4 linked regions of the Arabidopsis thaliana genome follow. The protein of the gene in region 3 interacts with the protein of the main gene of each other region in a pairwise test. Each region holds a gene or a part of one and is shown on either strand. Other genes may lie near its edges.

Region 1 (6,568 bases), on a different chromosome or scaffold from region 3:
ACGAAGTTGAAGAAGAAAATCTCTGAAAGAATCGATTTTTATGATATGAATGGAAAAACCTCTCGCGACTCTGAAGCAACTTCTCTTCCCAATTTTTATTTTGATTTAGAAATATACGTAATACTAATAAAATAATAATTAGTTGATTGAATATAGTTTGGTTTTTGGTATTTAAAATGTATTTATTTGCCAATCTCTCTACCGTTGTGGAAAAGTAGGCAAAGTATAGAGTCCCCTACCGTTGCGACAATGATAAGTTTCTCTCACGTTGTCTCATTCCTCTCTTTATTTTGTTTATTATACTCACCAAAATTTTATACTATTTTTTAATTAATAGTTTTATTTTTATTTTATAATTTTGTACATTTTAAAAAGTTTTATTATTATTAGAATACTCTGCAGATTTCAGATGGCATATTGCAAAACTGCTATAATCCAAATGAGGAAAACATAAATACATGTAAACAATCCAAGAATGAATTGGTCCAATAGGAAGATATTTTCTTAGAGAGAGATATTTCATTTTATATGAATTCAGATTTTTATATTTTATTTAGTAATATATATGTAATTTCGGTAAGTTTGCTTTCTTTTTGTAGGTGAAGATAACAATCCTGATTAATTTTATGTTTGGCAAGAAATAGTATATGATTCTCAACTTTCTAATTAAATTATTTTGGGTTCGTTGTATTTGTTTAGTCTTTTCTGATATGCTTTTATTCCAAAGAGGTTATATGCTTCTTCTTCCTTTTTCCCTCTTCTTTTATACTAGCTTACTAAATTAATAATTAGAGGTATGCTAATCTTAATTAAATTATATTGCAAATTGCTTTTATAGATATTGTAAATGACGTGTGTACCTTTTGTGTGGCCAGGTCTTGTCAAATCTTTCGCTGAAAACAGGTTATTGTGTGTTATATCAACAACTTATCATTATTAACACAAAATATCTTTGTAACATGGATTAAAAACAAAGCAGCTAGTATATATTATTCACATGAAAAGATTAAAAAAAATTGTGCGACTAGTAGATTTGTGATCGCCCCTTTATAAAGTTTGACTAGATCACTAGACTACATTTAATTATTTACAAAGTCTCAACGATTCCTTTCATCGTGAATGGGATATTATTGGGAATAAAATCACGAATTTCTAAAAGTTGCACAATAATATATATTTTTTTGTAAGATGGTACACAATAATATTTTAGTTATACTATAACCAAAGAAAAAAAAAAACTATTTACACCATATTAATTATTTCTATATGAAGAGATTTTCTACTTAACGCGCTTACTTTCGTATTAAGATAAAGTATCTACGCACTGTAGACACGTACGTCGGTGCATCATGCATGTAACCCTTAAAAGGCCTTTTTACGGCCCGTTACTGGTCCATATTAAATTCTCTACATAACCCTTTATACTTAGCCCAAAACAGAATTTCATTTTTATTTCTTTTTCGAAAATGGAAGAAATTCTCACTGGTGAAATTCGGTGAAAGAAAATGAAACAACAGTTACAGAGAAACAAAGAACGTACGAGAGAAAAAAACAAATCAGAGAGCTGAAGCTTTCTCTTGCTCAGCTATGGAGTCACGAACTGCTTTCAAAAGCAGAGGCATTAGCTTCTCGTTAGCAACGATAATGCCTGTGTCCAAATCAAGATACTTCCCTTTCGAGAAATCCAGTGGCTTTCCTGCTGCATCTGTCACTATTCCACCCGCCTCTGCACCAAAAAGAAGAATCAACCTTGCATTCCTTATCTATTTACATCCGCATGTCGACACTATAAAATTAGCTTCATAGAGAGTAAGCTTTAATGTTACCTGTAACAACTATAGCACCAGCGACATGGTCCCAAATCTTTTCGCGGTATCCTTTATGAGGAAACCGTAAGTATATAGCTCCATCTCCTCTTGATAAAGCTCCATACTTTGCTTGGCTATCAATACGGACTGGTGGAGCTTTGACACCGAGTTTCTGTATATTACAACATAGAACATGATCAAATGGATGAGGAAAATTAGTTAGCTATTAGCTGGAATCACATGGAAGGAAAGAAGCAATTTACATTGGCAATGGAGCTGGATAAGTCATGTAGAGAGTGAGCTCCTTCGAATGACTCGAAGAACGATGCCTCTTCAGGATTCTCAACACTAGAGACTTGCACTTTTACAGGAGAAGATTTTGAATCTAGGAGCTGCATATATGTCCCTGAACCAATTGTAGCAAAGAAGAGGCATCCAATTTCGTCTGACGAAGATTTGTTCTTGTTGTTTCCTGCTATGGATGCTAACGGCAAGTTTGGACAAGCAAGCACACCTAAAACTACTTTCCCTTCCTCGAGCAATCCTAGTGCTACTGCGTATTGATCTCCCCTCAGAAATCTAAAATCATGAAAATGCTCAGTGTCAGGAACATAACATCTGACTCAACATTCTATCAAATTTACATTTTCTCTGAAATAAGAAGATTTGACTTTAGGCTAGTTAGTTTTAAAACGTACCCTTTAGTGCCATCAATTGGATCCAAGACCCAGTGTCGACCATTTGGACCACCTTCAGATGTTCCACAGTCAATGGCTCTAAGTAGATCATCAGTAGACAAAGTAGAGCCATTAAACGATTCCTCGGTAGCCAAAGTGTCGTTCACGAGTTTTGTGATGCGCTCCAGAGTATCCTGAGAACCATCCTTGCGTAGATCGCCTGAGTCCTATATAGATCATTTTAGACAATGTGAGTCCATAAACACAAACTCAAAGATAAGTAAAGTGTGAGACATCTAACAAGGATTTATTAAGCAGTTTCACCTCTTCAGCCACCAATGAAAAGGGTTCAGAACTGAGCTCTTTTTCTAAGACTAAACTAACAACTGCTTGTGAACCTGAAATTCAACACAAGACAGATCAAATTAAGTGATTTCCTAACAATCTCAGTAACATTCAAAGAGAAGAGCTTTTTCTAATCAGGGACAGGTATAACAAACTAACCATAATCAGCAACGGTCACTGGACTTTTATCAGATTTTGATTGCACATCTGATTGCAACAAAGCCTTTTGAACTTTCTGAAACAAACCCAAAACACAAAGATAAGATTTTGATCAAAGATTTACACGAGCTTCGTATGTAGAGGACCATTACACTATATCACTAGAATCTATTCCCAATTACAGATGCAATGCACAATAAACACAAAATGTTAAACGAAATTTGGAAGATTTACAAAATGGGTTTCTTAAAGAATCAAACTTTAGAATCTATGGGTCATGATTGAATCGAAAAAACCCTAACCTGACAGAGACGAGCAGCGAGTGAAGCAGCTTTCTTAGCAGCATCAAGCTCTTTCTCGTAAGCCATCGATGAAACAACTCTGAGAGTAACAAATGAAGGAGAAGAAGACTTGCGTCCGAATACAGAAACGAGACGGTTCGATGAATTTCTAGGTCTCGAATTCGTTCTTACTGCTACAAATGATTGAAGCGGAGCCTTCGCTGTTCGAAAACAATTTATAGACATCATTCGCTTTTCAAGAAGATAAATATATGTCTTCACATTTTCTGATTGCAGAGACAATTATTATTACTTTTTTGAATTTCCCATTTACACCAGTGTACTTATTTATTCTCTGAACTTAAACCCTAAACTTTATTTTAGATCAAGAAAGGCCATATTTGCTCTGTTGGTTTAGGGGTCCATGTGGCACCAATTGAAAGAACAAGTACAAACGGTGAAAATCATAAAAATAAAAAACTTTAGTGATCTTCGTAGATTGGTTGTTGAGTTTTGGGCTAATCGCACGTGGATGTTGTGGTTGAAACATAAGTGAATTTATAGGTGGTGAAGATACAAAAAGGCTTCTTGATGAATGAAGAAGCCCAATAAAAACGGTTCTGGGTTAATATATTTTGAGGGAATCAAAAGCCCAAATAATTTTCTTCAGACAAGAGCTACAGCTTTGCCACGTTGTCCACATGAATCATGTTGAAATTTGGTCTATGATTTTGGGTTATGGATAAATCATTAATGACGCAGAGACAAGACTAAAAAAGATTTCTAGATTGATGATGGCGTGTGAGAGAGCAAAATACGTTTTGATTATTTGCCGGCGCAAGCAAAGGGTCACGTTCCACTAACTTTCAAGATTCAACAAAACCCACTTTCTATAGTTTTATATGTTCATTTTTTTCTGCTAAAGTATTTTTATATGTTCATATTTCTCTTTTGTGCCATCTTTTTAATAATTTAATCTTCCTACAGAAGATAATCTCCAACAAAAGTTTTTTCTTACAAGAAAGATTCCGAGAAGTCTTTTGTGTTTTCAACAAACTCCAGGTTGATATATACTTGCCACTTGTGTAACTGTATCTTTTATTCTTGATTTTGATTGGTTTCTTCTCCAAAGATTGGATTTCTGAAGGTTCTTGTGCTGCAGGGTTTTTTCAATGAACATGAGCAATAAACGTAATCAGCAACCTTCGTATATTGCTGATCATTTCAGCAGTTTGGATCAGGTCTCATAAACTTACTTAGTTATTTCTTGATTTTAGTCTCTTTCATAGTGATGAATTTCTTGTGAACTTTGCTTTTTAGGTGATAACTTCTCTGAGAGAAGCTGGACTTGAATCTTCAAATCTGATTCTAGGAATTGACTTTACCAAGAGCAATGAGTGGACAGGTAATTATTTGATTTGATAAAAAATGCTACACATGTTTACGAAAAGATTCAATGGTTTTGGTTAATGTTCTGAATTTTCATTGCAGGGAGATATTCATTCAATAGAAAAAGCCTTCATGCCATTGGTAAAAGACAGAATCCATATGAGAAAGCAATATCGATTATTGGTCGTACTTTGTCTCCCTTTGATGAAGATGATCTTATACCTTGTTTCGGTTTTGGCGATGGTTAGTTTCTTATTTCTTGCTTTCAAGATGAATGAATAAGATAAACCAAAGTTCTTAATGGTTTTATGTTTTCTTCTTCCTGCAGTAACAACGCGAGATCAATATGTATTCAGCTTTTATCCCGAGAACAAAAGCTGCGACGGATTGGAAAACGCAGTTAAAAGATATAGAGAGATTGTCCCACATTTGAAGTTGTCCGGTATTTTTGAACTTTCAAAAATGGAGCAGTTTTGTTCTCTCTTATCGTAAAGATTAATCAGTGTATTCTTCCCTCACAGGTCCTACCTCGTTTGCACCGGTTATTGATGCTGCCATCAACATAGTTGAGCAGAACAATATGCAATACCATGTTCTCGTCATTATCGCAGATGGTCAGGTCACAAGAAATCCAGATGTGCCGCTTGGTCGACTTAGTCCACAGGAAGAAGCTACTATGAACTCGATAATGGCAGCGAGGTAAAACTATTCAATAAGCTCATATTCATGATCAGACTTCATATGTATACTAATGATGTTTGATATAAATTTTCCAGCCATTACCCATTGTCGATAGTCTTGGTTGGAGTAGGAGATGGACCATGGGACACAATGAAACAATTCGATGACAATATTCCTCACCGTGAATTCGATAACTTCCAGGTAATATAATAAAACCCTGAATAGCTCTGTTTTGTTCCTGAAACATGAATCATGAAAAACTGTGTTTTGTTCCACAGTTTGTAAACTTCACGAAGATAATGTCAGAGCACAAAGATGCGGCTAAGAAGGAGGCTGCTTTCGCACTCGCAGCTCTCATGGAGATCCCTTTTCAATACAAGGCTACATTAAGTCTCAAGTAAATGCAATAAAAAATTTACCGTTGGAAACTACTTGTATCACTCACTGTTTATGGTCTTATTGCATTAGATTCTTTGCCAACTAAACCAACCTTTGATTGTGCTTATGAACAGTAGAAAACCAGTGCGCAGTTCCCATCAGCACCACAAGCCACTCCCGCCACCACCAGAGGTTATAGAGCGTGACAATGCTGTTAGATCGGTGCCAAATCAGATGACAGAAACTGCAGAGAAAAGTGACAGACTCGCTCCTTCCACAGTGCCGGTAAATACTCTATTATTTCTGCCTTTGTTTCTGTTCTTTTGTCAATGAGTATACTCAGTTTCTCTGATACTGAGATTTACATTCCTTTTGTTTTTCAAAAAGGTATGCCCGATTTGCTTGACGAATCCAAAGGACATGGCTTTTAGCTGCGGTCACACGGTATGTGAAAATTTCAAAGGAACAATTATACTCTTACTTGTTCTATGAACTGTACTGCTTCTAGATCGATTTTGTGACATCTCCGATACTTTTTATTTCAAATAAAGACATGCAAGGAATGCGGAGTTGTTATCACAACATGCCCACTATGCAGACAACCAATAACAACAAGGATAAGGCTGTACACTTGACTCGGAAAAATTCTTAGAGATGAGACAAATTATATGGTTAAGCACTTGAGCTTCATGTTTATACTTCTGTAGAACATTGTACAGTCCAAGCAGAAGAATTGTAAAGCATAAATCTCGAGTTGTAGTTCATATGTAATTCTTAGCCTGCCGAAACAAGGAGATATGCGAGAAGAGTTCTCTTTTTGTATTAATCAACAGCTACGTACAAATAAGCC
Region 2 (8,387 bases), on a different chromosome or scaffold from region 3:
TTTGCATCCAATACCTGGTCCATTACATATGAAGCTATCAAGACACTATAGTTACCTACCACTACCAATAAGTGTGAAAGCTACTAAATTAAAGAAGATACAATCCTAGACACCGGAACACCAATGATCATGACATGAGACAGAACCAATTTAGCTAACTAAGAATACCTTGGTGCAGAAGCTGAAAACTGGAGGCACGACAAGATCTATATCCTCATCTCTTTCCTTCCTCACTTCAAACCCAGAACCAAAAGCCCTTCTCCTCTCTTCCATCAAAATCTCCTCTTCTCTCACAATCAAACTATAAATCGCTCCCATTCTCGAATTAGAATTCATCCACAGTCCAGGCTTCCCATTCCCAGGCCACAACGCAGTCACGTTGTTCCCTCTAAACTCAAGTCTCCCATCATGATTACAGAACAACTCATCTTGGAACCCAAAAAGCTGATCACTAAAATCCGCCATTGTCATTAACAAGAAAACACCAACAACTCTCCTCGAAACAACGATTTCTTCACCTGTCTTGATATGCTTCACAACAACACCGTTCTCAGGAACCAAAGCATTAATCTTCTTCCTCCACTCTTCATCTCCATCAAAAATCCCTTTCTCCTTTGCGTTCCTCAACGAAACCTCAGAACAATCAAGATGCTCAACGAGCTCACAATCAGAGTACTTAAACAAAAGCTCATCGTGAATCAGAGTTTGTCTCGGTACAACGCAGAAGAGATGGATCAACGACTCGGCAGCTTCACCGACGTGATCACGGACGACGTCACGACCAGTGGAAGGATCGAAAATAGCTAAATTGACATAGGAATTGGAGTAAGCAGAGTGGAATAGACCACAGAGACAGACGGATTCAGGAGCTTTCCATAGCTTGAGGATCTTGTAGATATCGATTAAGTGATCTAGGAAGCTTCCGTGTTTGTGCCAACACTCGCCGGCACCGACGCTTTTGAGGACGGCGATTAACGACGGGAGTTTGGGGTCGATCTTTTCAAGCTCTCCTCGGAGAAAAGGTCGGGCTGATTCCAGTACGGCGTCGTTCGGGGATGGAGATGATGATGAACCCATTTTGTCTCTATTACTCTCTTTCGGTTGATGATGATCGCTTCTCCAGCATGGAGGATTAAACCTTTTTATTAGCATTAAAAAAAAAAAAAAAAGACTTAAACAATGACTCTTTTAAAAAAACCATTGACCAGGACCACCAGGTTAATATTTTATGATTTCCCTCTATTAGATGACCAAGCAACATTGATGTTCATCGGCAAACAGAACAAGAACTGAACTCCCCCACTTCTCATAGTGTTTCACTGTTTTGTAATAAAAAGAGTTACTATTAATTTTAAATCATACAAGCATGCAACTCACTGAGCAACTCATAGGAGTGTAGTTATATAGTGAAGATTAATTAACTGAAAATTACAAACTAAAAATTGCAATTCTTTTTACCACATTCATGACTGCATATAATAACTTTTTTTTTTTATTGTAAGGACTACCCCTCTCTCCATTACTTGAGACAACAATCTGTATCATAGATCTGAAAGGCAACACACCAAAAGCCGAATGAAATGATTGAATAGCTCGAGACCGACAGGTATTCATTTATTGTTGCGATACTGTCCCATTTGTAACGATGTTTGATTATTTTAGAATTAATGTCATCTTCACAACAACAACAACAAAAACAGAGGAAACAGTACAAGTGAACAATGAAAAAAATAACATTACAGAAGAAAGATTGGGGGAAAGAAAAGAGAGCAGAGAATCAAAATGACTAAGACTATTACCAAAGTGTTTGACTTGTAACTTTCACAAGGGAAATGTAACCTAAAGGACAAAAATAATGATAGTAAGCGAAACCCATCAGTAGATAATATATATAATCATATATTAACCTTTTCCACATTGAACTGAACATATTGCCAATGGCAGCAATGGCTTCATCATCACAGCAAATATAATAAGTGTGATTCTTCATAGGAAATACGGAACTCCAGTCCTTGGCCCTCTCATTTGATTGTTCTCTTCTGTCTCTGTGAAGAACTTCACTTCCCTTTCCTGGTAATACAAACATTTCAATCGATTTCATCACTAACCCATGCAGGAAGGAGGATCCTAGTAGCACAGACAGCTTGAATCTATGGTCAATGAAAATCCACTACAAATGCAGAAACAGAATCTATGGCTCACACAGATATTCAAACCTCATTGCACATGGCTTACTTGATTTAAATTCTCTAAATTACTTTCTATAATCTTCCTAGATCCATTAATTCAAAGAGGCACATAGCAAATCAACAAGAGTGTACATATTTTGATAGAGTAGAATCTTAAAAGAAATGATTAAAATCACTGAAGTAATAGAATCCCTTCTTGCTGACAGAGAAGATTAGAGTATTCATTTAGGAAAGACTAAGAGAGGCTCACCATGTTGTCATTGAAACTCAATATAGAAGCGACATTCCCACAGCGGTAACAGTAATTAGGTGCAGACCATACCTTCACAAACAAAACAAAATTAACAATCACTAAGCAGAGTTTCAAAACGCCCACTAATAAAAAATATCAATTCATTAGAAGCAGGACACTCACAGTTACAAGGCCTTTATCTTGGAACATGTACTTAAGACCTTCTTGTACAAGTTGGTGCGCGCGGCATACTAGATCCAGCTTGTTGATATGGTTAAACTGCACAAGAAGCCAGAACCAAAGATCAGAGATGTGAAATTAATTTCTTAGTTACAGTATCAATTCAAGCTTTTGAGAAAGTAAACATACCTCAGTGGTAACCCTGGATCCGAAAAGCCAACCAGCTCCACGTGGACTAACCGCCCATGTTTCAATATCTTCAGGATCACTCCACATAAGATCGCAAAAGGGCCCTTCATGAGGAATTTCGCAATTTCGCTCGATCAGTCTTATCTAGAGCCCACAGCAAATCTATGTGAGTGGAGGACCTTAATAACATGCCAAGCTAGAAGCATAATTGACGGGTGAAAGCCACAAGCAATAAAAGCAGAGTTTAACCTGATCAATTGTCCGGACATCCGGGGAAAGGCCACCGTGAACACATAGAACCTAGACAAAGCAAACTATTTTAGTATAACATACAGCTATATGTGTTCTCATCAACAATGCCAAGTTGCTAAGAAATCACTTACTGTGCCATCTATAATAGCTGACAGGGTAAGATAGTCAAAAACATCTGTGCAATATCGCCACGCATTAGCGTTACCATACTTCCTCTGGCATTCGTCATAGAAACCATACACCTAAAAAAGTAAATCAAATGGTTCTGTGTTATAAAGGAGTTCAATGTCGAGAATCCATGTATAATTTTGATCATCTAGTCAGCAGATTCACGAAATGCATATTTGAATTGCACTTTAAGAGGTATGATTGCAGACTAAGTCTTAGTAAAGGTTTGCCAGGAATGCATTCAAATACAAAATTATCACCACACTTTCTTCCTTAAAAACCTATGTATCAACTAGAACACTAAGGATTACACACATGCTAAAAAGGAGACTGGTACTATATGAAGCACCTTCTGAAATTAGCTTTCCAATACTTGATTCACATAAAATGCATCTTAGCTAACATCGATGTCTACATCTGACATGACATTGCCACATGTAGTACAAAATCAGAACTTTCAAAACCCTGCTGTAACAACGAGAAGATAATCAACATTGCTTACCTCCTAGGAACAGCGTGAAAAGCAGAATAATAGATATAAGTGGAACAGAATAACACATACCTGCGTTAGCTGCCTACTTTCATGATTTCCGCGCAAAAGTGTAATATTGGCTGGATATCTACATATTAGAATACAAAGAACAGAGAAACATGAGATGCTAAAGAAACAATATCATTCTCGTTTGGACTAATTTTGAATGCAATACGTTACTGGGACTATTTCTTCCAAAGAAAGATAAATAATTATCAAGATTAATTGCTTAATAAACAATAAGTTCGTATTAAGCACGAACAAAAAAAAACTTAAAGGCAAAGATTCAATGATAACAGGAATCTCCAGAACATTTATGAGCACCTTACCTAGCTTTAAGAAGTAAAAGAATAGTGAAGACTTCAAGGCTGTTGTAACCTCTATCCACGAAGTCCCCCTGCGAATTTCCCACACCAGATTATGATTGTATTCATAATTTCATATCAATATGTCATACAAGACACCACAAAAGAAAACTCGGTACCATAAAAATGTAATTGGTGTCGGGAACATGACCTCCGGTCTGAAAAAGCTTCATAAGATCATGAAACTGGCCATGGATATCACCACATACGGTGACTGGACTGTTTACAGGCTGTACGTTTGACTCCTCAATCAGAATCTCTTTCACCTGTATAACATTATGATAAACATCTTCTGGTTAACACCATGATTCATCTTCGCAAATCTATAAATCAATCGCTGAGAAAGGAGACCATAAAATGGTATCTAAACTACAAAATTGATGCCTCCATAGTTGAAAAGAAAGAAAAATCCTAAAATCACTACAGACCAGATCGAAGTCACGTTCCACTAAGGTATATAAATACAGATCAAACCAAGCAGAGAAGAGCACAAGAAGCTTAATCGACCAAGAGAAGAAATCAAGTAAGAAGAAGAAGAAGAAGAAGGCGTACGTATTCGCAGAGAAGCTGAAGCTCGTCTTCGGAGAGATGCTGACCATCTTTAACCTTGGAAATCCATTGATCCAAATCCATAACTCTCTCTCTATATATATATACCTCTGACTGGTAAAATCTTCAACACTTTCGTTCGATTTCAATAGCGACTTTTCTGGGAAAAAAGAGGAATCGAATCGAATCGAGATAGATCTACCAGAGAATCTTCGACTTCGTTAGGGTTACGTAAGAGGAGGAGATGAAAGAGAGAATGAGAGGTTCGAGTTTCACAAAATGACACATACGGCAAAAAGAAAAAAAGATCCCAGATCGATCTCTGCCGCTTCCAACGCAAATCAAACTTTTGCGTTTGTCAAAACGCAATCGTTGACGAACCAGCGTCTCATAAGAAATACGATTGTGATCCCTCATACTTCTAAAAATTATGAGAATTGCCAAAAACTTTATGATTGGGTTCTTAACAACCCTCTTTGAACAAATAACAAAAGACAACCATAAGATCCAAATCTCCACTACAAAGGACAAGGACGTCACTTTCTTGAATCTTCATTCTCCTAAATGTACAATATCCAACAATTTACAAAGGAATAATGAATTTGAATCTATAAACCAATCCAAACCAAAAAGAATCATCAATCAGTAACTATTTTTCTCTTTCTTGTATAAGAGTTAAAAGGACCCCAAAAATGGTTAGCAACAACAACACTTGTGGAAGTCGCTATGAAGAATGGTGGCAGCAAGAAAGGACAAAGTTGTTCATGAAATGGTTGAGCTCAGCTGTATACAGTTCTGGGTTACTCCGGAAATGGTCTACATGAGGTGAAGATATGAAGTTGCAAGCACGGACCTCATGTCCTGCTTTCCTCTGCTCTACAATGAATGATTCAACTTGTTCCACCGGTATAACTCTGTCTGCAGAGCTGTAAATGTATAACTGTGGACAACTTGGTTGTGCTGTTGATAATGTGTCAAGAACATCGGCAAGTCTCCTGTTAAAAATATGATTGCACGCATTTGTTAGTGTGAAATCATAGGATATGGGTGACAAGAATGAGTGAAGAGATATGATTGCCCGCATTTGTTAGTGTGAAATCATAGGATTTGGGTAAAAGAATGAGTGACGAAACGCGGAGTTTTATTGTATGTTACCTGTTTACTTTGGGAAGATTTAGAATCACCGCAAAGAACTTTTCAAGAACCAAAAGCAAAGCTGTTTCTGTTGCAGCGGGTTTAGGCTGGGAGATGTTTATACCGTTTGACTCATATGATGAGCTCGCAGATCCTTTAGTGGCTACACTGCTTTTCTTCAAGAACGCAGCTGAGAAACCTGATGCCCATACCTGTTTTAACAAAGCCAAATTAGTATCCAGAAAGTTCAAGCGAATAGTGCAGAAATCTATAAAAAGAATAGCACCCATCAGCGTCTAGCAAATCAGGTATCCAAGCCTATGATTTAGCACAAGCCAAATGACCATATAAACATGGCTATGAATGCAAGAATCATCGCTTACCGTAGGATCTGCAGCAGCAACAGGAGCTGAGTCCACTATGCAACCTTTAACTCTTCCCATCAATGATGAATCTTGCTTCTGAAACTTTTCCAAAATGGCTCCATATCTGCATAGATGAGAAACTCGCTTAGTAAAATGTAAAACCGCCATGTAACTATGTAAGCACATGAAAAAAACAGAGATATTAAACTCACGTTAACCACCCGGTGTTGCTGAAGGTGTGAAAGACGAGATTTTTCTTTTGCTCTTCATCCAACCAATCAGCCAAGTGATTAACCAGCGACTCGATGTTCTTCTCTGCTTTCCCTCCAACTTGATAACTCATAATCTCATTCATCGGAAGAGTAAATGTAATGACATGGTAACCCTTTGAAGTGTACCAATCAGCATATTTCTTCAGATGCTTCTGCTTTGATCCAAGCCATCCAAGCAAAACCACAACAGTTCTATTCTTTTCAGACACACAACTCGAAGAACCAGACATATCGACTGCACTAGGCTCAGGTAAATGCCATCTGTAGGAAATATCAGGAACCACAAGTGAGGCACCGATTGTGAATGCAACCGGTTTCGATGCTTTAGCCAACTCTGCAGACTGATAAACACTACGAAGAGCGGACAGAGAAGTAACAGAAGTAGCGAGACTACAGCTAGGATTAGAAGCTAGGAGATCAACATTTGGTACAGGAACACAAATCCTCGACACAAAAGATAAATCTGCAAGCTTGGAGGCCGAGACTTGAGAAACCCACAAGGACCTTTCTTCCTGAACTAAACCAGACACTGAAGGAGCAATCTGCTCTGATTCAGAACCTCGAACTAGTGATCTAAGAGATGAGAACCTCTCAGAGACATCTGCAGACACAGAAGCTGTAATCACAGCAGCAGCAGCAACAAGTGGCCGTTGAATGATCCCAGACAAAGAACCCATGATCGCCACAATCTAATCCAATACACTCCAAATCTAGCATACCAATCTCATTAATAGAAAAAGAGTCCTGTTATATAAGATGAGATAGATTTGTAATAAGTATAGACACACAAACATAAACAAACACACATGTTTAAAACGCGTGTAAGAGTCCAAGATTGTAAGGACATGGTGTAAATTACCTGGAAGCTTCAAACTCGGGCTGTCAAGTTTTGACAGCCCGACCTCAATGTACTAATAACTTGACAGAGTCAAATCTCTCTTTCTCTCCACCGAAAAAACGCTTCTCTGCAAGACAACAATCGTTTCAAGTCAAAACATCTCTTTGAAGCTTGATACTAAAAGAAACGATTTCGTATGATGTTGACACAAAGGGGAAAAGAAACAAGCTTTTCTCTTCTCTTCTATTATTTGATCTCTAAAATCATATGAGGATCCCACCTCCAACAATGAAAAAAAGATGATTTTTATAGATGGAATTATTTATTCTCTTCCCCCAGAAATCATGAGAAAAACCTATGAACAATGAAATTTTGTATCCTCAAAAACCTATGGAACAATGAAAAAAAAAGAGATTGAATCCCCAGATTTGCAAAGGACCCACCACAAGAATTTTCCCAAAAACTAAGAAAAAGCCTAAAAGAGCTAAAATCAATGGCATAAATTTCTCCCGAAAAGAAATGCAACACGACGTGGCGATGGCGACCTTCCCATTCTACGGGAGAAGAGGCACCGAATAAGACAATGATAAACCGACCGAAACCAAAAAACTCATTTTTTCCCCCAGAATCCAAAACCGCGTATAAATTGGGTGCGATAAATAATCGAATTTCAGAAGATTAATCAACGTACAATTGAAGAATCTGAGAGAAAATACGAATTGGAGAAAGGAGAGAAGAAAAACTCACCAGAGAGATAGAGACGGGAAGAGGGAAAAGAGAGATGAAATTTTTGGTTTAGGGCAAAAAAGAAACACAATTTTTATTGTATGACCCCAAAAAAAAAACAGAAATGATAATGTTTATTATATACTACTGCCTTCAAATAAAGAACCGAACTAGAGAAAGCCATACCATTTAAGTATGGGTTCAAAATAAGACAACTTATTTGCTGTCATACGGACATTTTTTCTTATCTTGATATATTTCTTATGTGTGTTAGATACTTAGATGTTTTGCATAAACTTGTGACTGTTTTAATATTTTTAATATAGGGGATTTGATTTCTATTGAATTATGCACCAAACTAAAAATAAATATTCCAACACCGTGTGTGATTCATAC
Region 3 (8,469 bases):
AGTTAACATTAATTTGTGTATATTTTTTTTTTGTAAATAAGTAGATAACGAACTAACTCGTTCAATTATGACTTTACATACATATATAAAAAGTAAGAAATTGTTTGATGCTTCTGGTCTTTCGAACATTTCAAACATTAGACTCCTACTTTTGTAACCCTTCCCTCTTTGAGAATGACTAGTAATTATAAATGTTGTGCAAAAAAAAAAAAAAAAACTACTAGTTTTCTTACACGTTCAAGTTATATTGTTTTATTGTGAACTTTATAGGAAATTAAACAACGAATATTCGAAAACCATTAGCGCGTTTAGTGTACATATGGTCTTTCAGAACTTGCTCCTCAAACACACATCTCAGTATCTCACACGTACTATAAGTCTATAAACCGATCTTGGTCCATGTATGTTTCTTGCTCGAAAATGACAATATTTTTTCCCGTCTTCATATTTGTTATATGTCATGTTACCTACCATATTTTGATTGTGATATGTGAAAACTGATAGTGGTTCTGTTTGCATTATACATTTTTCATCTGAAAAACTGACATTATAAATACCGTTCTCTTTGAAACAAAATCATTTAAATTATATTTAGTTTACGTATAAAGTTTGTATAATTTTTTAATATATTAGTCATATGGCTTATATAGTCCATAAACTACACACAATATTCATATATACGTGTACTTCGCTCTCCCTTACAAAAATAAAAATAAAAATTTTACAATTTTATAGGAGATTCAATTAACATGCATCGATTTTTGTCACGATAATATATCACCGAGACAATCCCCTTCTATCGAGAATCCAAAATACTTAAACGAATTAACGATGCTACCGATAAATGTTTCTGATTCCGTGACGAATTTTCGATAATAACAAAAAATCCATTGGCTAAAATTAAACAACGAGAGTTATAATTATACTAACTGATTGAAATGGAGGTGCACGGAGCCCATTACAGGTTTTGTGCGACGCATGTTGGTCTAATGAGACCTCTTAAATAGAGACACTTGCTAATCTTGATAATCAATTTAATTATAGATTAGCCGACCAGTTTTTTAGGTCGTGACGGTGGATTAACGGCTTTAAGACTTCTTTCGATTTGCGTCCCATTATGTTCCCATCCAATGCGACAACACATTCAATTGGTACTCGGAGCCCAATCAACGAGTTATCCACTAATTACTTACTTAATCATATTAAACCCTCATTAGTGAATACTGAATACTGTTATCGTTTTACGCCAGGATTGAGTGTATAAACCACAGGTTTCGATTCTTTGTCGTTCTTCGTCGTTTTGTTAATGTTAATTTTTTTTGTAGATTTTAATTGTTCCGCTACTTATATTTTTTTGTAATTTATGTCGAAATTTCAAAAGTAGTATAAATATTCCATATTTTATCCAAAAAAAAAGAAGTTGGAATACTTTTCATGTTTTCATAATCAGAGTGGTGTTTTCTTAGATTAATTAATTTATCAACAAAATCTGCAAAACTTCTATATTTTTTAGTTTAAATTTTATTAGTAATTAAAACTAATATGACATAAAATTAAGATTCCATTGTCTCAAATACAAAAACAATTAAAAAAAAAATTGGGGGCAAACACAAAAATATTTCATTGTTAAACATACTTTATATCCAACAAACGCATGGTTAACTATACTTCAAATATTAGGAAGGAAAAATCGGCCCGCAACACGAGAAAAAATGGCGGAAAACTCTGATAAACTACATTAATAAAAACTAAACACGGTCGTTTTCAGTCAATTTGCTTATATCCATTTTTTACTTTGTTGACAGAAAAAAAAATACTCTACTTTCTTAAAAAATCAATTTCGAAAGAGAGAAAACAAATAAAGAAATGAAAAGGAGCTTTTTATTAAACTTTAGACAAAGCTTTTTTGACTTTTAATTATCTTTTTGCCTTTTCTTTATCTTTTTGTTTTTAAATAATTATTGTTCATCATCCCTACACACACTACATGGACTATTAATTACATCACTACCAGCTTAAACTAATGATAACACGAAATGCTTTCAGTGCCAAAGCGCCTAACCCAATTCTCCCACTACGACTCTCATCATTTACTACAGCAGAAAAGAATCAGTAAAGCCACCAAATTTGATCACAATAGTACTAATTAAGAATAATAATATAAACTGTTTACTTTTAAAGCGTTATTTGCTCATGTGAAACTGGAACAAGGGAATATTCAAAATCAAAACCACACTTTTCTTCGCTAAAAAAAATCTACACAATAATCAACTAAGAGTTACCCGAACCTAATCAAAGAACACAAAAAAAAAAAAAAAAAGACTGTGTAAGAAAAATAAAAGTTACAAAAATAATAAGTTGTCTTCATCTTCCAATCTTTTATTTATCTTTTCTTTGTCTCGTTGCCCCATGTTTTGCTCCTCCTTATCTGCGTCCCATTGTCTCACTCAAATAATCTCCCAATATTCTATATATAAAAAATATGGGAGAAGAAAGGGTTTCTTGGCTTGTAATGTTGGCATCAGCATTCCTTAAATCATGCTACTCCCTAGTTGTACTTACATACTCTAAGCTTTTTTTAGTTTGTTCCATGAGACACTCTCTAGTTTCCCTTTCTTCCTTCTCCCTCTACAATTGACTCTTTCTCGGGGCTTTCATAACCGAAAGCTTATAACCCGAGTAGAATGTAGTAAACCAGCGTGATCGGAAGCGCTATAAGCATTCCAAATATTACCCTGAAAAGTCATTCAAGTTATCACAATGTTAAATGTTATTGAAAGGATTGCATTAGTAATCATATATGCTAATGGAATAATTATCATAAAATCTTTGACTTACCCTGTACTTAAAATAGCAGGATGAACATTGTACTCCTTCGCAAACACAAAGGGCACAATTCCTTGAGGTAATGCGGCCTAAAAAACCATACCAAAACATTTTCACATTTTTCATATTACACCAAAAATAGTTTTAACCAAAAAAAGAGAGAGAAAATTTTACCTGAACTATAGCGACACGCAGTAAATCACCACGTAATCCGATGGCTATAGCAGCAACCGCCATCACGGCCGGACCCGTAAGGAACCTAACCGCCATGGCAAACGTTGCCACTGAATTCCCACAAGCGATTAATTTGGGTTGCAACGCCATGAACAACCCTTCACGATTATTTCACATAAAGTTTAATTTCAAAATCAGGTAATCAATAAAATTTTATATATCTAGAATAAATCCAATAAAGTCCCATAAAAATGGGGACCATGACGACTATCAACAACACGAGACCATGTCGTCCACCATTACCATTTATCTAATAAGACACTCACAACATAGCCCCACCTGTCGGATGGTCCATCCCCAATTTTTTGTTTTTCATAATATAAATCACAATGACAAAAACAGCATATAAATTTATGAACTACCTAATTTAATTCCATTGTTATGTAAATGAGTTAATATGTCAACGAAATATGCAAAATTTAGAAATTTTCCGTGACAAGTAAGACGTTTGGTATGAATCATATTTATTCATTTAAATGGCTTCAAAACTAAAATTTCGAGAGGAATAAAAACAGAGTACGAAGAAAGACTTACCCAAACTAAACATTGCCATTCCAAGACCAGCATCAGATAGAATGGAGATAGATTGTTGAATGATTTTGGGCATTGCCACGTGCCACCTTCAATTCAAAAACCGGAATAAATTTCCCGATAACCGGTTGGTTCGAGTTAAGAAAACAATTAATTTTGATTTACTAACCGGAAAGCGACGAGAGCCCAAATAAGTCCAATGAGACTAGAGTAAGTGTTTGGGTTTCTGATGAGTTTCCTCCAAACCATTATCAGTATCAGCCTTGTCATCACACTCGCCGGAGGCATATTTTTTCGTTGACTTGCTTCGGCTCCTCCTAGACCTGTCTTGGATTGTAGCGCCGCCGTGGAATTTGGAGCAAGTTTGTTTAGACCATTCTCGGCGTCTTTTGGTCTCTCTGCTTCTTCTTCTTTTCCGGCGAAACTAAATTGTTGTTCTCCTCCGAAATCTCCACTTGCTGGATGAGCTACAGCTATATTCACCACACAAAACAGAATTGAGAAAATTTGCAGTGACTTATCAAGAAAGTTATCTAAAGATTGCTAACCTTTGGTCTCGCCGTTGTGAGATTGATCTGGGACTAACATACGGATCTCTTTAGCACCTTGGTCAGATCTTCCGCCTTGATCGTTGTCAGGTGCTCCGCCGAAAACGTTAAGACCCGCCCGGTCTGAAACGGGTGACCCGTTTGAGCTCCAGACGAACATGTGAAGCTCCTTGGCGTCATGGCTGTTTGACTTGCCGCCCGTTGGAAGAGTCGTCTGCTGATTCGTATTAACGTCTTTCGGGTTTTTATTGACGCTTTTATTGGCGGTAGATGTGGTGGTTGAAGAGAACTCTGGATTCGGAGCCGGATAAGACCCGGCTCCTCCTCCAGGGTAATACCCGAATCTCGGGGAGGATGCCATGGCGCAATTCTCCTCGAAGTTTGAAGGTCGAGGAGTTGGACCTCTAGATGATTGAACGGAGTACATATCCGCCGGACCGAAATTGGAGAGACGACCACCGGGGAAACCCATCATGTTGTAAAAATCAGAGTGGTTGAAATTAGAGCCTCTAGGAGTGGTGCTGAGACTATAAATCTCAGCTCCGGTGAGATTTGACGGCCGTGGAGTCATGTTCGGGCCGCAGAACGAACGACGTGAAGCGTTGGATTTTCTCACGGTGACGTGAAGCTTCCCGTCGTCACCTATCTCTGCATCGGTCTCAAGAAAATCATGGCCGTCGAGCGAAACGACGTCGGATTCGACTTTGAAAGAAACAATGGAAGCAGCCGTCTCAGGGAACTGCTCCATGATGAGCATCTTGGCGCCACGAAACTCGAAGAGAAAAAGGAGAAGCGTGTACCAGATGATACACTGGAGGACGACGATTTGGACCATGAGGGAACCAGAGTATTCGCCATACATGGCGATCAAGAGAGGAATCCCCATAACAAGAGTGTTGGGAAGTGTGGAGAGGGAAAAGATTGTGATGCTCCACTCGAGGCTACCGGAGCGAGTGAAATTAGCCCATAGGACTAAAAGTGACAACATGATGATTTTTTGGAGAGTGTCGGCGGCGATGAACCGGAGATTCATTGCGTAAGGATTGTTGGTGGAGATGAAGTGAAAAGAGAGGAGAGGGACGGCGAAGATGGCGACAAAACGGTTGATTCCGGAGCATTGGTCGGGTGAGAAGATTTTCCACCACCGGACAGAGCCGTAAGCGAGGATCATGGCCACGTAGAGAGGAATCACGGCGGTGAGGACCGTGTAGAGGTCGTGCCATGAGATCATCTTGAAGGGACAAAAATGGAAAACCGTTAAGCAACGGTGTCGGAGGAAGAAGAAGAAGTGAGAGGACTTGGGAGCAGTGTGTGTGTGGAGTGAGCAAGTTTGGTTTTTGAGGATATAATTTAAGGAAGGATGCCACTTTACACCTCTTTATACAGCAAATACGTGACCACCCAAGTTCCTTTTTACTAATTTATTTTATTTTATTTATTCTTTAGTATGTTACATTTTTTATCGATCTTATCAAAAAAATAACAATATAGTTCTTTTCTTTTAAGATATTGTTTATAAGATTTATTATGTTTTTGTTTAATTATTAAATAATATTCTTTTTATTATTATATTGAATAATACATCTCATCATATGGAAAGTTTAAAATAATACAAATTAATGGTTAGAGTGTTTTTCAACATTTTTATATTTTATACTACATAACTAAAATCTAGTATTTTTTGTTCGACTGATTGAAACGGACATATTGTAGATAACAACATACACATAAATAGTCAAATAATTAAAATAACTGATAAATAAGAATATTGTTGAATAATTTCAGTGACATTCATGTGCTTGATTTTTCATTTTTTATGATTCATGAAGATTAAAGTAAAATATGGAAAAATAGAAACTGAGTCTGCCACATTTTTTACTTGTACAAATAGCATCTGAGTTAGATCTTAAGAAGAAGGTCTACATGTGGCACTCTACTTTTGGGGATGGGCATGGCAGAGACATACCTTTTCTCTTCTGTCCCCTAATCTTTGCTTTTCAATATTTTACTTTACCTTTCTTTCACATTCTCTAACTAATCCATTTTCGTAATATGAATAAATCAATATCGATATCAATATTAAACATATGGGTATATTACTAAATTAAAAACTAATATCTTGGTACCCCGGCTAATAATCAAAAAAGCAATAGTTAAATATCAAAAGTATTTGGAAATTCTTTTTATATTTTGTGATGTTTGATAAAACACTTTTTATAAAGTAATCATTAGAAAAATAAGGAGACAAGATGGGCTGGAGACAAAGAAGATCCACTAAGGAATTGGATGGCTCAAATGGAATTTGGCTAATGGCGTCGAGTGTGTCTATGTGTTATTGTTAGGTTTACTTATTTGTCTCGTGAAGTAGGCAACACTCAATTACTCCTTGGACGACATAAATTTTAGCCTATATTCTCATCGTTAAGCTTCTGTCTAATTCCCCTTCATGATATTAGTTAACACGTCGCTTCGGAATTATTTGTTCACATAAACTAAAATCTGAATTTAGTGTAGAGATGATCGGTTTAAACTTTTTAACCAAAACAAAAATTGAGATGAACTGAAATTAGAACTACAGTGGTTAACCTCTAACTAGTGGTTGGAGGCTAGCGGTAAACATATCTTTTTAAATAGATTAATAGAGAAATAAAATTCAAAAATGAATTATCAATGAAATTGATATTAGACATTTATTGATTTGATATTTGAGTTTTAAAATATTATCATCACAATGTAGTACTTATGAGTATAGTTAATATATGTCATTTTTATTTATGAGTTTTACAAAACCAAATAGCTCAATTTATTGTATAAATTTAGTTAATATATCATTAAATCACTTATATAGTAGAAAAAAATATTTTCCTGTATTTTATTCTTATAATTTTTTTTCCCGATATGGGCATTACTACCTTTTTAGTACAGAGCCAAAGTTTCACATGAGTAAATGGCTGAGACAGAGAATGTCGTGACCTTCTTGTGACTTAGTGTTGCTGTATCTTTCTGATTGCATAAAATATTACTTGACACAACTTCCTCGAATAAGTCCAAACATGAATGATTAATTGTGATTTAAGCTAAGATAAAATCTGCCGTCCTTACAAAACCATATTATACACTTTATTCAACTATTTATCATAATCGAATCAACCTATTATTATATCTTAATATTTTCACTCAATTGACATTCAATTAACAAAATAAATAATCCTAGATATCGGCAAAAGATTTAGGGAACTTTTGGAAGCACTTCATATGTCAGCTTAACCATTTCCATTAACTACCAAATTATTCCATCTGTTTAAGTGTTTATATAATTGATAATTCTAGCTAATGTACATAAAGATCTACACAAAAATATACATATTCCACAATAAAGCTAGTACACACAGTGTTGTGCGTATAAGGCTATGACTGAGTGACTCAAAATGTTTATGGCTAAGTTTAAAAATGTGCCCTCTTTTAATTGTTACAAAAATATCATCTAAAATTTTGGTCAAACTTTGAGTTCAATAGAGTACTAAAATATTATTGTAAAGAAAAAGAAGTATTATACAAAACAGAAACTAAAGTACAGTATCATTTAATAAACACACTATATGCAATAAAATTATGTTTGTGGTTAAATAATCAAAGATACACGTGAACAAAAGTATACGGTTTAGCCGTATGAAATAAACACTAAAACACATAAGAATTTGGCAGTTATATATTGATACAAATCAAATGAGTGGTTAAAACTTCGGACGATCAATATTGATTCCAGTTCTTCAAAAGAAGTGGTACGTCGAAGCGATTTAGACAATCTTGAAAGTGAACAATGATGGCTACTGGTGGCTTAAACACGTGATTAAAGAATGTGAAATGTTCATAAACTTTTCAATTTACTCACTCTTAAAGAATGAATAGTTTAAAGTTATCGATCGTCAATTATTGAATATAATCTGGGAAAAAGGCTAAAAGTTATTTAGGAAGTCCAAGAAAGAGAATGACAGATGGGTGTGATTTGTGACCATGAATTTCGACATGTTATAACGTACACGACTGAATCATCTTTGTAATCATAATGATGATGTGATAATATTTTTCAGTGTCGCAAAAGTATCGTTCTAGTGTTATTTTTAGGTTTTGTAAAGAGATATCATCTATAAAAGTTTTTCCGTATATTGCAATGTATGAATTTGAAGTAACGGTAACACAATGCATTTATGTAAAAAAACAATAGATTATGTATGATATATGGTCCACTAATTTTCATATAAAAAACAATTTACAGTTTTATTCAGTTTAAAATACTTCTGAGTTCTTTAAATTACAAGATTAAGAATCA
Region 4 (8,530 bases), 8.1 Mb from region 3:
TCTTGTAGTTTTGCTTTCAGATGCAACAAATAAATACTTATGGCTCTCAGAAGCGTGGAGTTCAAGAGAAAACATATCATCCTTCTCATGGTAAAGGCATACATCACTGCTCTGCTCTGTCCCTAATTTATGTAACCAAACCTGTTACAAAGAATATATGAAGATCAGAACATGAAAGCCAAAAATATTGACGTATCTCATAATAAGTACAGTCAAATTTGGTAAGAAAATATGGCATCTATGAGGTGTATAATGTCAACAATTGATCGAAACGGTAAAATCTATATTCATGCAAAAGTTAATCCCTTCCTCCAGTACTATACACTAAGACAGTAGGGTGGGAAAAGATTGAAGGTAAACCTTATCAGGTCGCAGGATTTCGTCCATTGTTATGTAGAGCAAAGCATCATTACCAGCCCATTCAAGATAAGAAGTAAGTCCTTTAAGCTGTTGCCCCACTGGTTTTAGGGCTTCAGAGTCGATGACATTCACTGTATATATCTCATCACCTTTTGTGTCCTCTGCATATGCCACCAATTTATGATCGGGACTCGCCTATAAAAAGAATCAAGAAAATGAAACATCAAGTTAGTAAAGAGCAAGTTTGAAAAGGATATCTCTTAGGACGATTTTTAAAGTCTATTTTCTAGTCAAACCTTGAAGGCCCCAATTCTGTAGTAGTCATGCTCTTGAGCCTTGGTATTCTCATCCAATATCACATGCTCAGGAGGAGCATCTGGACCAGTTGGCATAGTATCATAGACAGAAGGCTCAGCTTTGTTGTCAGTGATCAAACGTCTACAGTGCTGAATATATTCCTTTCCTTGAAGATTTTTCTCATAATAATAGTAAGGACCCTTGCGTAGAGGTGCAGATATATCATCTTCTTTGATCCTCCCTCTTATTTCAGCAAACAGCTGATTCTCAAATTGCTTGGTCCCTGAATTTTTATTTTCCAGTCTAATTTATCACAAGCTTGCATAATCAACAAGTCACTAATACTCCAAATTGAAAACAAGGAAAGCTAAAAACCCTAATCCCCTAAGTATCACAACGTCACTGACAGAGGCAACTTGAAAAGACTCACCAGACATGACGAAATCAGTGTAGTGATTTTCTTCACGAAGATAAGAAAGCATGTCGGGATTGGTGCGAGAATCGTCACGGAGCCAGTAGTAATTGTCAACCCTAACGTCACCGAACATCTCCATCACATGCTCCACCTTCTTCGCTACAGGAGGGGATCTCGATTCCGCCATGTCTCTCGGTGATGTCAACCGCACTGACGCAGCTCCGGTTTCAGAGGAAGAGGAAAAAGAAGAAGACAGCCGTAGAATAGAGCGGCGGCGAGGAACAAGAGGAACGAGGCAAGAGAGAGGAGTATCGAAGTGGAGAAGACGACTACGAGTCGCGAGAAAGTGAGTGCCGAGAGATACGAGTCCACGCCTTATTATCATATTACGTGTCCGTTTTAGTTGCCTAGAGACTCGCGACCAGTTTGTTAATAGAGGACAGGTCATATCCGGTTTGGATAAACCGGCCTATCTATGATTCCGGTTACAAAATTATTAACTCTTTCGTGAATTTTTGCTAGGATTATTGAACAAAACCAAATAATTAGATTAGAAACAAATTACTGTTGAATGTTGATTAATGGTCTTCTATGTTCTTGTAGTGGACTATTTTTGAGCTTGATGAATTTTATAAGCCTGAGATTAACCCAGAACCTAATCAAACCGTGCTAAACTGCAAATAAGCTGAGATGATAAAAATTGGTCTTGCTTACAGAACAAAGATGAAACAAAACAAGAAAGAAAGCACGTATAATAATAACATCCAGAAGAGGTTCAGGTTAAAGTGCATCAAAACCACTAAAATTACCAAAGTGACATTCACTTTCACAAGAAAATGTTTCCAAAATGGAAAAAGGAAAAAAAAAACAATGGAAGTGTAAACAACATCAGAAGATATACCTTGAAAGAACATAAGCCAATGGCAATCATGATAATGGCTAACTTGATAAGAGCAATACGAGACTAATAATGATGTAGGATCATCATCATGAATCACAGGAAATAAGGAACACCTGTCCTTGGCCCTCTCATTTGATTGTTCTCTTCTGTCTCCGTGAAGAACTTCACTTCCCTTTCCTGGTAATTAAGCATATTTTAACAAATCATTACTGTCAGTGAGGACCAGATCCTAAACACTTCCCAGAAACAGGTCTATATATGAAAAGTAACACACAGAGCACAATCAATATGGACAGACTGATTCCACGCGAACTGTGAATTGTTACTAAATAAATGGCTTAAACATCATAACTCTATCTCACAAGAGTCACTCATGTGTATATGTTTGGGTCGAGAGACAAGTATCAAAGGCAGTAACTTATTTAATCAAAAAGGAAAAGTAGAATCCGAAGACGAGTGCATAAAAGTAAGAAGAACATGAAACAAGATATTGTGGCAGATCAGTAACAAAAGAGAAAACAAATGCCTCACCATGTTGTCATTGAAACTCAATATAGAAGCCACATTCCCACAACGGTAGCAGTAATTAGGCGCAGACCACACCTTTACAAAAAAAATAAAGAGAAGAAACATCACCAAGCAGATTATACTTCCAACTATCCAAAATGATCATAAGGAAGCAAGGCACTTACAGTTACAAGACCTTTATCTTGGAACATGTACTTGAGACCTTCTTGTACAAGCTGGTGAGCGCGACATACTAGATCAAGATTGTTAATATGGTTAAACTGCACAAGAAGCAAAACCACAGATCAGGGAACTGAAATACATTTATTTCTTTTCACACCTTATTCAAATTTCAACCCCAGAAAAAAATATAAATACCTCAGTGGTAACCCTGGACCCGAAAAGCCAACCAGCTCCACGTGGACTGACAGCCCATGTTTCAATATCTTCAGGATCACTCCACATAAGATCACAGAAGGGTCCTTCATGCGGTATTTCGCAATTCCGCTCAATCAATCTTATCTAGAGAACAAAATAACATCTAAATGAGTAAATGAGATTTAATCTAATCATAAATAACACTTGCATGGTGAAAACCAAAAGTAATTTAAAATAGCACATTTTAACCTGGTCAATTGTCCGTACATCAGGTGAAAGGCCACCATGAACACATAGAACCTACATTGAGGATGCAATACGTTTTAATATGGTATACAGCTAACTTATGCATTCATAAAATTATACAAGAACACATCATAACACAATGCCAAAGAAGCTGAGAAATACTTACAGTGCCATCTATAATAGCTGAAAGTGTAAGATAGTCAAAAACATCCGTGCAATATCTCCAAGCATTAGCATTACCATACTTCCTTTGGCATTCGTCATAGAAACCATACACCTAGCAAATATAAAATTGGTACGACAATTTAAGAAAACTATAAAAATGAACCTGCAGGGCACAAAATATCACTACAATCTTCGTCCTTGACAGTGGATGTTAAAAGATATAGGATATGGTGTAGGATAGAGATAAATCAAGAGCTTCCGAGAAGAAAACTTATGGTTGCAAAGGGTTCACATAAAATGCATCTTAGTTAACATCTATGCCTATATCTAGCATGGCATTGCCACATGTACAAAATAAACTTTCAAAACTAGTTATAACAATTGAGCGAAAATTACTTCTCAACCAGTAACTGCGTGAAGAGCACAGCAAGTCAGCAACAATAGATATAAATGGATTAGAATAATGCATACCTGAGTTAGCTGTCTACTTTCATGATTTCCACGCAAAAGAGTGATATTGGCTGGATGTCTACATATTGAAATACAAGGAAACGAGTGATTTTAAGCTCACAGCAAAGTAAGTTAGAATATAAATTTCCTGGAATACAAGTTAAATCGATTTTCCAGTAGAGCAATGCGTTTACAGCTTAAAGAGCATTCTCAAGAGAACTATGATATACAGTGTGAAACGGAAGGATGACGATCCATGACATATATAACGCACAATTTCTACGGAAAATCTTACCTTGCTTTAAGAAGCAAAAGAATGGTGAAAACTTCAAGACTGTTGTAACCTCTATCAACGAAATCCCCCTGAGAAAATCCCCCACAGATAATTAAACTATGTGTTACATATTGATATGTCATACGAGCCTACGCCCAAAGTCAGAGTCTATACCATAAATATGTAATTGGTCTCGGGAACATGACCTCCGGTCTGGAAAAGTTTCATAAGATCATGAAACTGGCCATGGATATCACCACAGACGGTGACAGGACTGTTGACAGGTTGTACATTTGATTCCTCAATAAGAATTTCTTTCACCTATATAATAGTCAAAATATCTTGTGAATTACCAGAGTATCTTAGCAAATCATTGTCATGAAAAAAGAAGAAGACGGCTGCTACTACAAGTTTCAACACTAAAATTACTATAATAAATCCTCAAATAACAGTTTGCAAGCGTGGACTTGGTGCATCCATAAATTGGCTAAAGAAGAGCTAAACTTATCCCTAATTCCTTAGAATTTAGAATTGAAATAGCAAAGTCAATAAATCCTCTATTGGAAAAATGAGAGAAAAACCCTAAAATCCGTAGACCAAAATGGCAAAGGAAACAGTAAGGGAGAGAGACCAGATTCAAAGTAAAGTGCCACAAAGCAAGCTCTAAAGTCTCAAAAGAGTAAGCGAAGAATTGGGTTTTTGTAGATGCATGAATATTCGGGGAAGAGAAAGCAAGCAAGAGAAGAAAGAAGAAAGAAGAAGAAGGCGTACGTATTCGCAGAGAAGTTGAAGCTCGTCCTCAGAGAGATGTTGGCCGTCTTTAACCTTGGAAATCCATTGATCTAAATCCATGGCGGCCTTTTATTATCCTCTCTGTCTCTCTCTTTCGGTGGTGAAGTGGAAATTGGTGCTGTTTCTTCGATTTCAATGGTGAGTCTCGACGATCTCTGGTGAAGAATTGAAAGAAAGATAGATCTAGCAGAGCATTGCTCCGTCCGCTTAGGGTTACGTAAGGGGGAAAGAGGGAGAGAGAGAGAAAGGGGAAACACAACGAACCAAACAATCTCGACCCGAACCCGATTTGGTCTTCCTCCATCCCCAAACTCTATTCGTTGGATATTTATTTTTAATCATTTTTTTGGCAACATATTAAACATCAATTTAATTTTTATCTATTACTTCATTACACAAATCTTTAATGGAGTATACTACACATTTTCAATGTTTTTGCAATTCTTTTCTTGGTAATTTTATTTGTCTACTTGAATGTGACAATTGATAACACCTAAATAAAATTCCACAAATACTTAAACCTTCTTTATAGTATTTTTTCTTCTTTTTAATTTTTTTAAAAAAACACATTTCGATATATGTGTTGTTGAATTTGAGTAAGACCTTTTTGATAATTAAAAACTCCTAAAAAAAATTATTTAAAAGTCTTGTTAAACAAATTGTGTCTAAAGACACATTTCGAAATCTATGTGATGTTGAACTTTTGAGGAAGGTTGTTTGTGGGAGACCGTACGGGATATGTTAGAAATGAATCAATGATCTTGGATAGGCATTAGCAATACGATCGTTCAAGAGCGAACCTCACTCGATTCATTTCAATGTTTATGTTTGGGTCTTCCCATTTGGCTTCTGGTTAGGGATAATTTGAGAAGGAAAAGTATTGTTATGATGACCTCTAAAAATGACAAAATGGAATTTGTCTCACCAAAAAATCTCCAATGTTCAAATTACATCCGAAAAAATCACTAGTCGGAGGGCCAAATATTACGGAAAGTATATATTGGTGTTGGTTTGGTTTATACTTGGTCGAGAGGTGATCCGAAACTTAGTTCCACTTAAAAAAGTGATGCATCGCAAAGGTAATTCGAAATTTAAATTGTGAAGAGTTTACTCAGCTGCAAGAATAGAAATGATTTTTCTCAGACATGTTCATTTCGGGTTTGGGCTGGATTGAGTTTTTTTTTAACCCACGACAACATTCCAAGAAAGATCACTTGTTGAAGAGGGATTCCACCAACTGACCATCTGATACAAGTGCATGATTTATCATATGTAATTTTATCCATCAAATTATCTAAATTTTTGTAGAGTCTAAGTCGAGATATCACTGAAATCGGCCAAAAAAACTAGTAGTTAAATAGTTTTTAAAATACACATTGTCCAAACACGATAAAGATTTTTTAAACTCAAAACAATCTTGTATAAAATCTATACAATTTTTTTTTCCCTTTCTAACTCCATATGTTTACAAACAAACAAACTTGTAAGGAAATTTATATTATTATCATAGTTTACCACCTTGTAGTTATTTCTCGCTATGTCCATTTTAATTAGCTTGATAAAAAACTTAACTATTTAAGAAATATAAATATTGATTTGTTTTTGCAACGACTATTTATATTCAAATACAGCAATGGTTCACTGGACTTTGGAATCCTTGACAAATAGATATACTGTATAATATAAAAATTATTTACTGAATTTGCCAATAGATTTGGGTGGCAAATGAAAAACATGACTCTTTCAGTCCCAAGGAGCCTTCTCACTTCTAGCAGCAAAGCCAAAAACCGTAGTTACATCAAACGTGTAGAAAAGGAGACGTGCGTCTCAAGAAAAGGAAGTAACCATTAATACCTAGTACTCCTCAACCTCCCCCACCAATTCATCTTCACCTTCTCCGCTGAACCACCTGTTTCTTCACTCCCAAGTTTGCTAAGTATCAGTTTCGTTTCCCTTAGTCTCCCTCCATAATCTTTCTTCCATGTCTCAAACATCTGTTTCAGCCTTCGTAGCTCCCGGTCCGGATTCAAGTTTGCTTCCACCTGACCAGATTTCACTTCCATCAAGAACTTTCTGTCGTCACCAAATACCTGAGCTCTTTGTCCAAATTCCTCAGCTAACCGGCTTATCACGCTTAAACCCACGCCTACACTTCTTGACCTGCCATGGCCCATTTGGTAATGACTACCTCCTGAATCTAAATCTGTTGCATCGCTTGCATTCACCGATGCATCCGAGTTTCTCGCTGAGTCCTCAACCTCTAGGCTTTTCTTTGCGATGGAAAGACTGGATTGCAAAGATTTCATCTGCTTTTGCCAAATTTCTTCCATGGATTTCATCTTTGTTTCATATTCAGACCACCGGTTATCGTACTGCTGGACTCTTTGTCGGAGGATGTCGTTCTCCTCTTCTTTCTCACGAAGAGCAGCTTCGGTTCTAAGAACCCTACGCTGAAGATCGGAAAGATATGATGCCTTCACTAGCACCTCGTCTGACTCATTTCTCTACATAAAGAATTGGTTTAAGAGTCTAGCAATATGCATATATATCATGTAGTCAAATGCACGAAGAGAATGAAAGCTTTGAGAGGACCTTGGTGCCACCAGAACTAAGCCATCCAATATCCCCCGCACATCTTCTAACCAGCTCTCCACGAATTGCTACAGAAAAAGGTTTCAGCATTTCTTGAAACTTCTATTTTTTAAAAATATATTTTGAGGTTTAATTTGTTTCAATCATGAGAATTAATCAACCCTATTTTACCTGATTGTATTACAGCAGATGCATCAACTGTGGCTTTATACTGTTGGCTAGCAATCCTTCTCTTAACATGGCTTTGTATAGCAGCAGAAGCTCGATGCCTCTGCAGTAACTCCGTGTATTCCTTTCTCATCTTTTCTCCACGAACAACTGAAACAGAAGGATGTGTGAGGTATGGTTTCTAACGACATAACAAATACAAACCAAGATATTGAAATGAGACAAGGGGCAATACATGATTGAAGAATAGTAATTCCGGTTTTAAGCTCTTTTAGACGACAGCGAGCTTGGTGCCCTCTAAAATAACTTTGAAGACGTAAAATGCCATGCAGAGTGCGATTCCTTGTATCTTCAAGAACCCCAATCTGCAATGGTGAAGCAAGTATACTGCAGTAAGAATGTCTAATTTGTGGCCCCTAAAGTCAAGACATCAGACGACTAGTTATAGTACCTGGCCAGTTCTGAAAAACAATTTTGTGTAGCCAACTTGGTACATCTCTGGCAAGATATTAAACTGATGGAGAATTGCAACCGAAACACTTAGAGGATCTTTTGCTGCAATGTTCTCCAGCAGAAGGAAACCATACCTAAAGTATGACAAAAGAAAAACAGCATGACCATTCAACATTATTGCAACTAAAAAGTATGGGAAGCCTATTATAAGAGGACATGCAATACAATGAAAGTGCACCAACTGGAGATGGAGTTGTTACCTTCGGGCAAATTTATGATGAAACATTCTCGTGGGAAATCCAGACCGGGATATTCGAACGACCTCTAGGACACCACAACATCTTAGCTGCTGTAAGACAAGTCCTTGCTCATACAACCCGGCAGACTGAACATTGTTTGGCTTTATGCAGCGAATAAAATGTGGGGTAGTGTTCCCTAGACGTTGCATCAATTGGAAAAGTTGACCCTGAAAAAAATATCCCGGCATCGTCACTAATCAAATATTATAAGATGACGTTTCCTTCTAAAGTAA

What was found.
Region 1: the proteins of PIN3 (region 3) and SAL1 interact in a protein complementation assay, tested with the Arabidopsis thaliana proteins (one study listed by BioGRID).
Region 2: the proteins of PIN3 (region 3) and FYPP3 interact in a protein complementation assay, tested with the Arabidopsis thaliana proteins (one study listed by BioGRID).
Region 4: the proteins of PIN3 (region 3) and FYPP1 interact in a protein complementation assay, tested with the Arabidopsis thaliana proteins (one study listed by BioGRID).

What each region holds. Positions count from the first base shown.
Region 1 is NC_003076.8:25,606,791-25,613,358, reverse strand, and holds SAL1 (SAL1 phosphatase-like protein), read right to left. Parts: upstream 3,358-6,568; coding exon 3,292-3,357; intron 3,066-3,291; coding exon 2,990-3,065; intron 2,884-2,989; coding exon 2,810-2,883; intron 2,713-2,809; coding exon 2,507-2,712; intron 2,388-2,506; coding exon 2,072-2,387; intron 1,981-2,071; coding exon 1,827-1,980; intron 1,727-1,826; coding exon 1,557-1,726; downstream 1-1,556. Other genes in the region: RGLG3 (Copine (Calcium-dependent phospholipid-binding protein) family), read left to right, coding at 4,443-4,511, 4,591-4,675, 4,762-4,902, 4,988-5,101, 5,181-5,358, 5,436-5,541, 5,619-5,737, 5,853-6,003 and 2 more. UniProt on the Arabidopsis thaliana protein: Phosphatase that converts adenosine 3'-phosphate 5'-phosphosulfate (PAPS) to adenosine 5'-phosphosulfate (APS) and 3'(2')-phosphoadenosine 5'-phosphate (PAP) to AMP. May regulate the flux of sulfur in the sulfur-activation pathway by converting PAPS to APS.
Region 2 is NC_003074.8:6,958,361-6,966,747, reverse strand, and holds FYPP3 (flower-specific, phytochrome-associated protein phosphatase 3), read right to left. Parts: upstream 5,013-8,387; 5' UTR 4,741-5,012; coding exon 4,660-4,740; intron 4,374-4,659; coding exon 4,227-4,373; intron 4,140-4,226; coding exon 4,072-4,139; intron 3,831-4,071; coding exon 3,773-3,830; intron 3,285-3,772; coding exon 3,174-3,284; intron 3,091-3,173; coding exon 3,040-3,090; intron 2,935-3,039; coding exon 2,791-2,934; intron 2,701-2,790; coding exon 2,605-2,700; intron 2,512-2,604; coding exon 2,440-2,511; intron 2,071-2,439; coding exon 1,987-2,070; 3' UTR 1,542-1,986; downstream 1-1,541. Other genes in the region: AT3G19990 (E3 ubiquitin-protein ligase), read right to left, coding at 1-14, 169-1,152; AT3G19970 (alpha/beta-Hydrolases superfamily protein), read right to left, coding at 5,381-5,651, 5,812-6,002, 6,174-6,279, 6,368-7,104. UniProt on the Arabidopsis thaliana protein: Catalytic subunit of protein phosphatase 6 (PP6). Dephosphorylates phosphorylated phytochromes, with a preference toward Pfr forms.
Region 3 is NC_003070.9:26,740,071-26,748,539, reverse strand, and holds PIN3 (Auxin efflux carrier family protein), read right to left. Parts: upstream 5,601-8,469; 5' UTR 5,371-5,600; coding exon 4,140-5,370; intron 4,065-4,139; coding exon 3,761-4,064; intron 3,681-3,760; coding exon 3,595-3,680; intron 3,159-3,594; coding exon 3,001-3,158; intron 2,916-3,000; coding exon 2,839-2,915; intron 2,736-2,838; coding exon 2,669-2,735; 3' UTR 2,071-2,668; downstream 1-2,070. UniProt on the Arabidopsis thaliana protein: Acts as a component of the auxin efflux carrier; this activity is enhanced when activated by PID-mediated phosphorylation. Seems to be involved in the lateral auxin transport system.
Region 4 is NC_003070.9:18,655,209-18,663,738, reverse strand, and holds FYPP1 (Calcineurin-like metallo-phosphoesterase superfamily protein), read right to left. Parts: upstream 5,232-8,530; 5' UTR 4,846-5,231; coding exon 4,765-4,845; intron 4,315-4,764; coding exon 4,168-4,314; intron 4,083-4,167; coding exon 4,015-4,082; intron 3,799-4,014; coding exon 3,741-3,798; intron 3,382-3,740; coding exon 3,271-3,381; intron 3,159-3,270; coding exon 3,108-3,158; intron 3,003-3,107; coding exon 2,859-3,002; intron 2,762-2,858; coding exon 2,666-2,761; intron 2,577-2,665; coding exon 2,505-2,576; intron 2,151-2,504; coding exon 2,067-2,150; 3' UTR 1,687-2,066; downstream 1-1,686. Other genes in the region: AT1G50380 (Prolyl oligopeptidase family protein), read right to left, coding at 1-141, 361-555, 657-940, 1,088-1,457; VIIIA (P-loop containing nucleoside triphosphate hydrolases superfamily protein), read right to left, coding at 6,633-7,289, 7,378-7,445, 7,549-7,695, 7,781-7,910, 7,997-8,132, 8,259-8,464. UniProt on the Arabidopsis thaliana protein: Catalytic subunit of protein phosphatase 6 (PP6). Dephosphorylates phosphorylated phytochromes, with a preference toward Pfr forms.